Linked DNA regions of Mus musculus. The protein of the gene in region 2 purifies or fractionates together with the protein of the main gene of each other region. This does not show direct contact. Links are inferred from orthologs where the notes say so. Each region holds a gene or a part of one and is shown on either strand. Other genes may lie near its edges.

Region 1 (4,674 bases), on a different chromosome or scaffold from region 2:
ACTATGAAGAACTACGTGCAGCTATGGATGTTGATCTTAGAACTATAGAACAGTCTATAACCAAATTAGAAGAATCTTTAACTTCCCTGTCCGAAGTGGTGCTACAAAATAGAAGGGGATTAGACTTATTATTCCTTAAAGAAGGAGGACTCTGTGCTGCCCTAAAAGAAGAATGTTGTTTTTATGTTGACCATTCAGGAGTAATCAAAGATTCTATGGCCAAACTTAGAGAACGCCTAGATATACGTAAAAGAGAAAGAGAAAGCCAACAAGGATGGTTCGAAAGCTGGTTTAATAAGTCCCCTTGGCTCACCACTCTCCTCTCCACCATAGCAGGACCTTTAATTACACTTATGCTTTTGCTTACTTTTGGCCCCTGCATCCTTAATAAGTTGGTAGCTTTTATTAGAGAAAGGATAAATGCAGTACATGTTATGGTACTAAGGCAACAATATCGGGTCCTCCAAGAGGTTGAAAACTGGCTCTAAGATTAGAGCTGTTTTCTAAAAGGAGTGGGGGATGAAGAATAAAGATAAAAAATTACTGAACTCTTCCTCACCCCAGAGCCCGACCCCTCCCATCTAGAGATTGTTCCCAGAACACTCCTGAACTCTTCACCCCAGAATGCATTCCTGAACTCCTCATCCTAGAGTTCGAACCCTCCCAACTAAAGACTGTTCCAAGAACATTTTTGAGATAAGGGCCTCCTGGAACAACCTCAGAATGAACCGGGTACATTGCCAAATAATAGGACATGACCCCTTAGTTACGTAGAATTCCCTTGGCAGAACCCCTTGTCCCTTGGCAGAACCCCTTAGTTATGCAAACTTGTACTTTCCCTGCCCCGCTCTCCCCCCTTGAGTTTTTCTTATATAAGCCTGTGAAAAATTTGGCTCGAGGTCGATTCTCCTCTACACCATACTAGGTGTATGAGCTTTGACCCCAGAGCTCTGGTCTATGTGCTTTCTTGCTGTTGCTTTATTAAATCTTGCCCTCTACATTTTGAGTTCGGTCTCAGTGTCTTCTTGGGTCCGCGGCTGAGTGAGGGTCTCCCTTCGGGGGTCTTTCATTTGCACACCACACCTCCTCCTTGGTTCCCAAGCAAGGAACCTGGCCAGGGTGCAGCGATCCTATTCCACAAAGAAGCGGGTACCAATCCTGAAGAAGGCAGTCACAGGAACAAAGGCGGAATGTCTCCTGGAAAAGGAAGTGGACAGGCATAACCTCGTCGTTCAGTGCTCCTGCTATTTGTGGAGACCGAAATTCGGAGTGGGCCGAGCCGGCCAGGCCATTCACGCCCCCTTGTGTCCGGAGCGACTTTGGAGCGGAGCAGCAGGGAAGGTGGAGGTGCCTGTGCACCGAGGCGCGCAGACGCACAGGCAACCGAGACCCGGCGGGCTGCGGGTGTTGTCAGTGCGCAGGCGCTGAAGATCCCCGGGAATCCGCGCGCCGCTGTGAAGCCGCAGTGCGCAGGCGCGGAGCCTCCCCAATGAGGGCACGCGTGACCAGGCTGTACACACAGCGGCTGGTCCTAGTCGGAGCCCCAAAGGCAAGCATTTGGTTTCCGGTTCCGGGAGTAAGCAACCGCCGCAGAGGCGACTGTTTTGGAAGAGGCACTGGTGGAGGAGGAAGAGAAGAAGAGTGGAACGGGCCGGTCGCGCTAGTGGGATCCTTCTCATGGGTCCACGGGCCTAGAGCGGAGGAAGCTGCGGGCCTGGTGTCAAGCTGGTGAGACAGCCGTGGGAGTGGCGACAGCTCGGGAGGAGGCTGTGGAGGCTCGGAACGCTAGCGGGGGCCCTCGCCTCCGGAGAAGGAATGACTTCCTCTGAATGTTTAAAGAGGGGACTGGGGTAACTGGACAGAAAGACCGAAGAGGAAGGGATGTGGCTCAGGGCATTGACAGCGGTGTCTAGATTCTGGGACTAGGATGGCGAGGAGTAGAAGAGAGAGAACGTTCAGAGAGTCATTGAGTCTTCGTGTTAAACAGGATAGAAATGGCGTCCCAAAGCTGATCATGCAAAGATAAGGCCTCGAGACGGGAGAAATAGTTAGAATAATGAGGGACTGGACACTCTTGGTGGACAAAAAGAAGTAGAATGTCCGATGGTTGGGAGGGAAGGCCTTGTCTTGGAACACAAAACTAGGAAATTGGGAGGCCAGGTCACTGTGGAGGGAAAAGGAAGTTTCACAAGATGATAAGAGGAATGGAGAATGGTAATACAGTTAGAGAAAGAGTAGCTAACACCGGCTGTAGGGGTGAGCAATAGAGACGCTTGGGACCGAGACTGGAGAAGAGTTGTGGGTCTGAATAATGAGGGGAAAATAAGCTCTGGGGCCAACTCTTGAACTTAAGAGGGAGGCTTCCAACCTGAGGAATGGGAAGAATGTGTGGTAATGTTTGATCCAGTGTATGGAGGAGTTGGGGGCTCTGATCCATAAATGCAGCTAGAACACCGGGAGACGTTGGAAACTCAGGTCAAGGAAAGTTTAAATGGGTGCTTAGAACACTGAAGCAGGGTCCCAAGGACCAGAGAATTAGGGACCTCTTACCCAGAATAGGAGGACCGAGTCTTCTCAGACTGAGGAAGGGTGATATGCATGTTTGGAGGAGAACAAAGAGGGAGAAACAGGTTGCTTTTGTGGCCTGGAAATACTTTGCCACTCTCCCCTATACTCTACTTTCTTTCAATCTTGCAGGCTTCTGTTCTGTCCCTGAAGCATCTATGGCTGAGTCCTGGCAGGACTGCCCAGCCCTGGGCCCTGGCTGGAAACGCCGAGAGTCCTTTCGAAAGTCAGGGGCCTCGTTTGGACGCTCAGACATCTATTACCAGAGGTAACGGGTGTGCTCTGGGCAATGTTCAGTGGCGTTGGACCTTGTTAGTAATTAGAGCAAAGGGGTGTGTTTAAATCTATGGATGGAGTTAAAATTGTGCACATAGTCCTTATTACAAGTTTTGTGTTTTCTTAATCATGTATTCCTAATAAAGTTGATTTAATTTGGTCAAAGTCAATATTCACGGTGCATTTGTGATTATTCACAGACAAACATGGAACAGCTAAGAATTTGAATTGTCTAGTGCGTGTATTCGGAATCAAAGTTAAACAAGAACTCTCTCTCTCTCTCTCTCTCTGGTTCTGTAAACTGGTCATTCTTTCTACTGTCTCTTTAGAGCCATATTTTTGTTGGCAAATGTGTTGTTTAAAATGACTCCCAAATAAAGTGCTGAATTATTTTCTAGTGTTCTGAGCACGAGAAGATTTTCTTTCCTCCTTGTCAGATAAGCTTTTCTTCCACACATGAATTGCAGTGCTGTCTGGTTGAGTTGCTGTGTTCAAAAATTAGAACTGGTCCATCCAGAACAAGAAGAACAAACTTGCTGAGATGTGTGTGAGGCTGCTCTGGAAAGAACAGAAATTGTTGTAGGCTATTTAGTCACACTGTGAACCCCCTGAGACTGATTAGACCTACTAGGAAAAAAGTCTTGTTTGTAGCTGTGGTGTGGCTCAAACTTAGGTCAAGAGGCAGAACAAGCAACCAGTTGACAGGAAGTGAACATAAGATAATTAAAATATCATAGAGAATAAGAGGTAGTCATGAGGGTGGATAGAGAGATGCACAGGAAGTAGAAGGGAGGGACTTTCAGTTTGAAGAAGGGATTTTGTGTGAGTGGGAAAAGCTTGCTGGGCTGTCAGCAGAGGAGGAAGGTCAACTGGGTGCTTTCTCTGCCTCTCTGAGCTATCGGGCTCCCAAGTCTTCAATGGTAAAATCGAATGATTGAGATTTTTGTTAAAAAACAAGAAATTACCATCTATAGTGCTTGATGAAGCTTCAGAGAAGTTGTTAAGGTAGCCGTGAACCAATGGCCTTACAGTAAAGCACAGTACCAGCATCGTTACAGGGAAAGCCAAAAATGTATCAGCCATCATTAGGGAAATGGAACCCTCTCAGCTGGTGCTGGCTGGCCTGTGTGTCTCAGAAGATGATGTGGTGGAGAAACACTGTACTTACGGTATATGTTCTGTACAGCAGGTGTCTTCAGGAAAACAACAAAACATTAGCAGACAAACCTAGATAAAACATCCTCTAAAGCCATTGGCTCTTAGTCATTAACAATCATGGAGTCATTTGTACGAAACCAGTGTTTTTAAGCAGAGACTCATAAAACAGAGGACAATTGATCAGTTGCTTGAAAATGTGACAGGCTTGCTGGAACCCACCTGTGTCTCCTGTAGGCACAGTGGTCCTTGTTTCAAAAATTCAGGGTTTGTAGCAACTTCATAATACGTAATTAATATATATAGTGAAAATTGACTGTAAATGTATCAACATTGAAGTTTATAAGCATGGTGTTATTGATGGAGCTATTAAAAATTTTCACTGTTTATTTAAGTTGCCATTGCCCTAGAAGAATGTAATAAAATTTCACAGTTTTCATTATGTTTATAACTTTTTTCACATGAGGTTATATAAAAATTTCAAAACTTCTAAATAATTGTGTATGTACATATGAATATATATCAAATTAGTAAATCGATTTGTTAGTTTGTGGATGCTGGTAGAAAATGTGATACTTCTGGGCCAGTGATAACAAAGTTTCTCACAGGATCAGAATCCATAATACTGTGCTTTTGATATTTTTCCGAGTCCCCATTCCCATAGACTGATATGAAGAG
Region 2 (3,966 bases):
ATACATTTCTATTCATGGGAGAGACAAAATAGATTCCATTTCATATGAATTTTCACACTTTAAATACAATTACCACTACTAGTTCTCACTCAGCCAGAAGGGGTCACTGTAGCTAATCAACACACTTCCCTGCAAGCTTTTGTTTAACAATATACCTTAAGGTCCATCCTTAGAAGAGAAAACCTAAACCCCGTTTGCACAGCAGGAGCAAGAGGACAGTGACAGGAGCAGGAAGCTCACCTCTCTCTTTTTTTTAGATTTAATATCATCAGCGCTGTTGGAGAAACTGGATTTCCTCTTGTTTCCTTCTGATTTCTCCCTGGGCTTATTGTTTTCACCCTCCTTCATCTTCTTATACTTTTTCATAAACTCAGAAATTAGTTCAGGACAATCCAAGTTCTTCTCAGGTTCCCAAGTATTGTGCTCCCTGGACAAAAATAAAGACAAAAGGAAAGAATGAGGGATAGGATAATGCCCTGTTTTCACCCACTTCCCATCTCGGCAGAACTGGCGAGTGTTTGCAAACTACATCCTTAGCTTAGCTGTTTTCATTGCGAAGGGTTGTTGTAAGGAGGACATGTGAGGGAAGGACAGGAAATCTATACTTAGGGTATAGTTCAATGGTAAGGCGCTAGCATATGCAGTGCCATAGGCTTGAGCTGCAGCTCTGCAGAGAAAAAGAAATCCAACAAATTTAATCTTCAATATTCACAGAAGAGACGTGGGAAAAAGTATGTTCATAAAAGTCATGTAAAGAACTATTATAGCAGCAGTATTTTTTTCAGGACTGAGGATCAAACCCTAAACCAGGATTTTATATCTGCTCCACCACAGAGAGTACAGCCCTATAGCAACATTTTAGTAGCCAAACCCTAAAACAAACCTGAACAGTCACCAACTGATGAATGGATGAACAAAAATATGATGCAACTGTATAATGGAATAGTATTAAGCAACAAAAAGAAACAAAATACATTGAGAAAAATCTCAAAAACAGTATACTGAGTTTGTAAGAAAACATACGCTTTCTTTCTGTTTCCGTTTCTCTGACATACCCTGGCAAGATATATTTTAGATTAAACTGAAGAAATGTTCTGTAATGGACACACAGTAACAAGCCAGACCAATCTCAGCGTTCAAAGCTAGTCTGGTCTACAGAATAGTTTCCAGAACAGCCAGAGCTACAAGGAGAGAAACCTTGTCTCAAAAATACAAGACAATGCTGGGCATGGTGGCGCACACCTTTAATTCCAGCACTTGGGAGGCAGAGGCAGGCAGATTTCTGAGTTCGAGGCCAGCCTGGTCTACAAAGTGAGTTCCAGGACAGCCAGGGCTATACAGAGAAACCCTGTCTCGAAAAACCAAACTAAACCAAACAAAACAGAACAAAACAAAACGAAAAACAAGACAAGCTGGGTAGGTAGTGCACGCCTTTAATCCCAGCACTTGAGAGGCAGAGGCAGGTGGATTTCTGAGTTCAAGGCCAGCTTGGTCTACAGACCCTGTCTCGAAAAAACAAAACAAACAACAACAAATAAGACAAAACCCTTGTCTCAAAGAACAAAACAAGAAACATCACATTGTACAATTTCAATGGATATGGGTGGCTCTTTTACTATTTTTTATTTTTTTGAGAGTGAGTGCGGTCCTAAACCTCATTCTGTGGACTGAACCCAAACTCAAGATACCTGCCTGCCTCTGCTTACCAAATGCTGGGGTTAAAAGCCAGTGTTGGGACTAAAGGCATGTGCCACCACTGCCTAGAGTAGTTGACTCTTAAGGCACATAAATTATAGTTTAATAAACCCATTTAAAACTACCAATTTGGGGGTTGGAGAGATGATTCAGTAGTTAAGAGTGCTTGTTATTCTTGCAGAGGACCTGAACATGGGTAATTCCAATTCCAGTGAATCTAATGCCCTCTGGCCTCCACAGGTACCTGCAAAGTATTCATACTACCCGCCCTCCCCAGACACAGACAAACACTCACACAATTAGCAGGTGGTGGTAGTCACCTTTAATCCCAACAAGGGAGAGGCCAGCCTGATCTACAGATCAAGTTCCATGGCAGCCAGGATCACAAAGAGAAACTGCCTTTTTTTTTTTGGTTTTTCAAGACAGGGTCTCTGTGTAGCCCTGGCTGTCCTGGAACTCACTCTGTAGACCAGAATGGCCTTGAACTCAGAAATCCACCGGCTTCTGACTCCCAAGTCAGAATACTGGGATTAAAGGCATGTGCCACCACTGCCCAACTGCCGTTTTTTGTTTTGTTTTGTTTTGTTTTGTTTTGTTTGGTTTTTCAAGACAGGGTTTCCTCTGTGTAGCCCTGGCTGTCCTGGCACTCACTTTGTAGACCAGGCTGTCCTTGAACTCAGAAATCCACCTGCCTCTGCCTCCCTAGTGCTGGGATTAAAGGGCGCCACCACGCCCGGCTCCAACTGCCTTTTTAAAAACAAAACAAAAACACCCCCAAACAAAACAAGCCCCCCCCCCAATTGAATCTTTAAAAAAAACAAAACAAACCCAGTCTAGAAGTTGGGTATATAGCTCAGTGGTAAAGGTGCTTGTCCAGTTGTAAGCAAGGCTCCATGGCATTAATCCCTAGCATATCTTCTCTCCATGAAAAAAGGCCGCCTATTTTTATTTTATTTTTACTCAGGATCTGTGGCTGGCCTGGAACTTTGCTAGGTAGATCAAGATGACCTCTAACAGAGAATCAATGGTCTCTACTTCTCAGAGTGCTGAAATTAATGGTACATGCCACAATACTCAGCTTCTCTTTGAGTTTAAAGACAGTCTTACTATGTAGCTCAGGCTGGTCTTGAACTCTCTGAAATTCTTTTGTTTCAGCCTTCCAAATACCTAGAGTACAGAATGAACCAACATGTAAGCCTCTGAGGGTTTTTTTTTTTTTTTGGTTTTTTTGAGACAGGGTTTCTCTGTGTAGCCCTGGCTGTCCTGGAACTCACTCTGTAGACCAGGCTGGCCTCGAACTCAGAAATCCGCCTGCCTCTGCCTCCTAAGTGCTGGAATTAAAGGCATGCGCCACCACGCCCGGCTGCCTCTGAGTTTTTATATTCTCAAAGTTGACCTCCAAATTTTCTATTTGTGGGCTGGAGAGATGGCTCACCGGTTAAGAGTACTGACTGCTCTTCCAGAGGTCCTGAGTTCAATTCCCAGCAACCACAAGGTGGCTCATAACCATCTGTAATGGGATCCGATGCCCTCTTCTGGTGTGTCTAAAGACAGCAACAGTGTACTCACATGTATAAAATAAATAAATCTTTAAAAAATTTTTTCTATTTGTAGCACAGGTTTTAGAAAACTAAAACTACAAAGATCTAATGGAGCTCTGAGTCCAGACTTAAGACACATGGGACACTGTCTCAAATATCAACAACAGAAACAATAACAAACAAAAAAACTAAGAAAAAATAAATGCTATGGATGGGAAGACAGACTGATCCCTGAGGCCCATTAGCCAGCAAGCCAATGTGTATCAATGAACACAAGAAAGACATCTGGCAGGGCAGTGGTGGTGCACACCTGGGAGGCAGAGGTAGGCAGCTTTTTGAGTTCAAGGTCAGCCTGGTCTACAAAGTGAGTTCCAGGACAGCCAGGGGTACACAGAGAAACCCTATCTTGAAAAACAAAACAAAACACAAAAGATCTAATGGAAATATACCAAATGTACCTGCACAGAAAAAACTGTACTACCATCCCTTTCCCTACTGAGAGGCAAAGCTCTGTTAGAGCGCAGGCACTGGGTTTTTCGTGTTTGTTTGTGTCTATCACACCTGTAACCTGTAATGAACCACAAAAGCAAAATATAAAGTCAATAAGCGATGAAAACAGCATCTATCATCTGCAGTTAGTTTGAGGGAGAGTTGTTGACATTAAATCTAGCTAGGGTCTTATAGCCCAGCAGTGCTGGCCTATAAGAGTTCCAGAGGGAGACCAAGACTT

The links. Proteins that work in one complex are often made in the same cells at the same time.
Region 1: the proteins of Cbx5 (region 2) and Mbd1 purify together in Homo sapiens (affinity purification with western blotting; 3 studies listed by BioGRID and IntAct, with this or other methods). This does not show direct contact. The link is inferred for Mus musculus from reciprocal best matches to the Homo sapiens genes CBX5 and MBD1.

Annotation. Positions count from the first base shown.
Region 1 is NC_000084.6:74,266,706-74,271,379, forward strand, and holds the start of Mbd1 (methyl-CpG-binding domain protein 1), read left to right. Parts: upstream 1-1,469; 5' UTR 1,470-1,728; intron 1,729-2,697; 5' UTR 2,698-2,723; coding exon 2,724-2,833; intron 2,834-4,674. UniProt on the Homo sapiens protein: Transcriptional repressor that binds CpG islands in promoters where the DNA is methylated at position 5 of cytosine within CpG dinucleotides. Binding is abolished by the presence of 7-mG that is produced by DNA damage by methylmethanesulfonate (MMS).
Region 2 is NC_000081.6:103,205,252-103,209,217, forward strand, and holds part of Cbx5 (chromobox protein homolog 5), read right to left. Parts: intron 428-3,966; coding exon 241-427; intron 1-240. UniProt on the Homo sapiens protein: Component of heterochromatin that recognizes and binds histone H3 tails methylated at 'Lys-9' (H3K9me), leading to epigenetic repression. In contrast, it is excluded from chromatin when 'Tyr-41' of histone H3 is phosphorylated (H3Y41ph).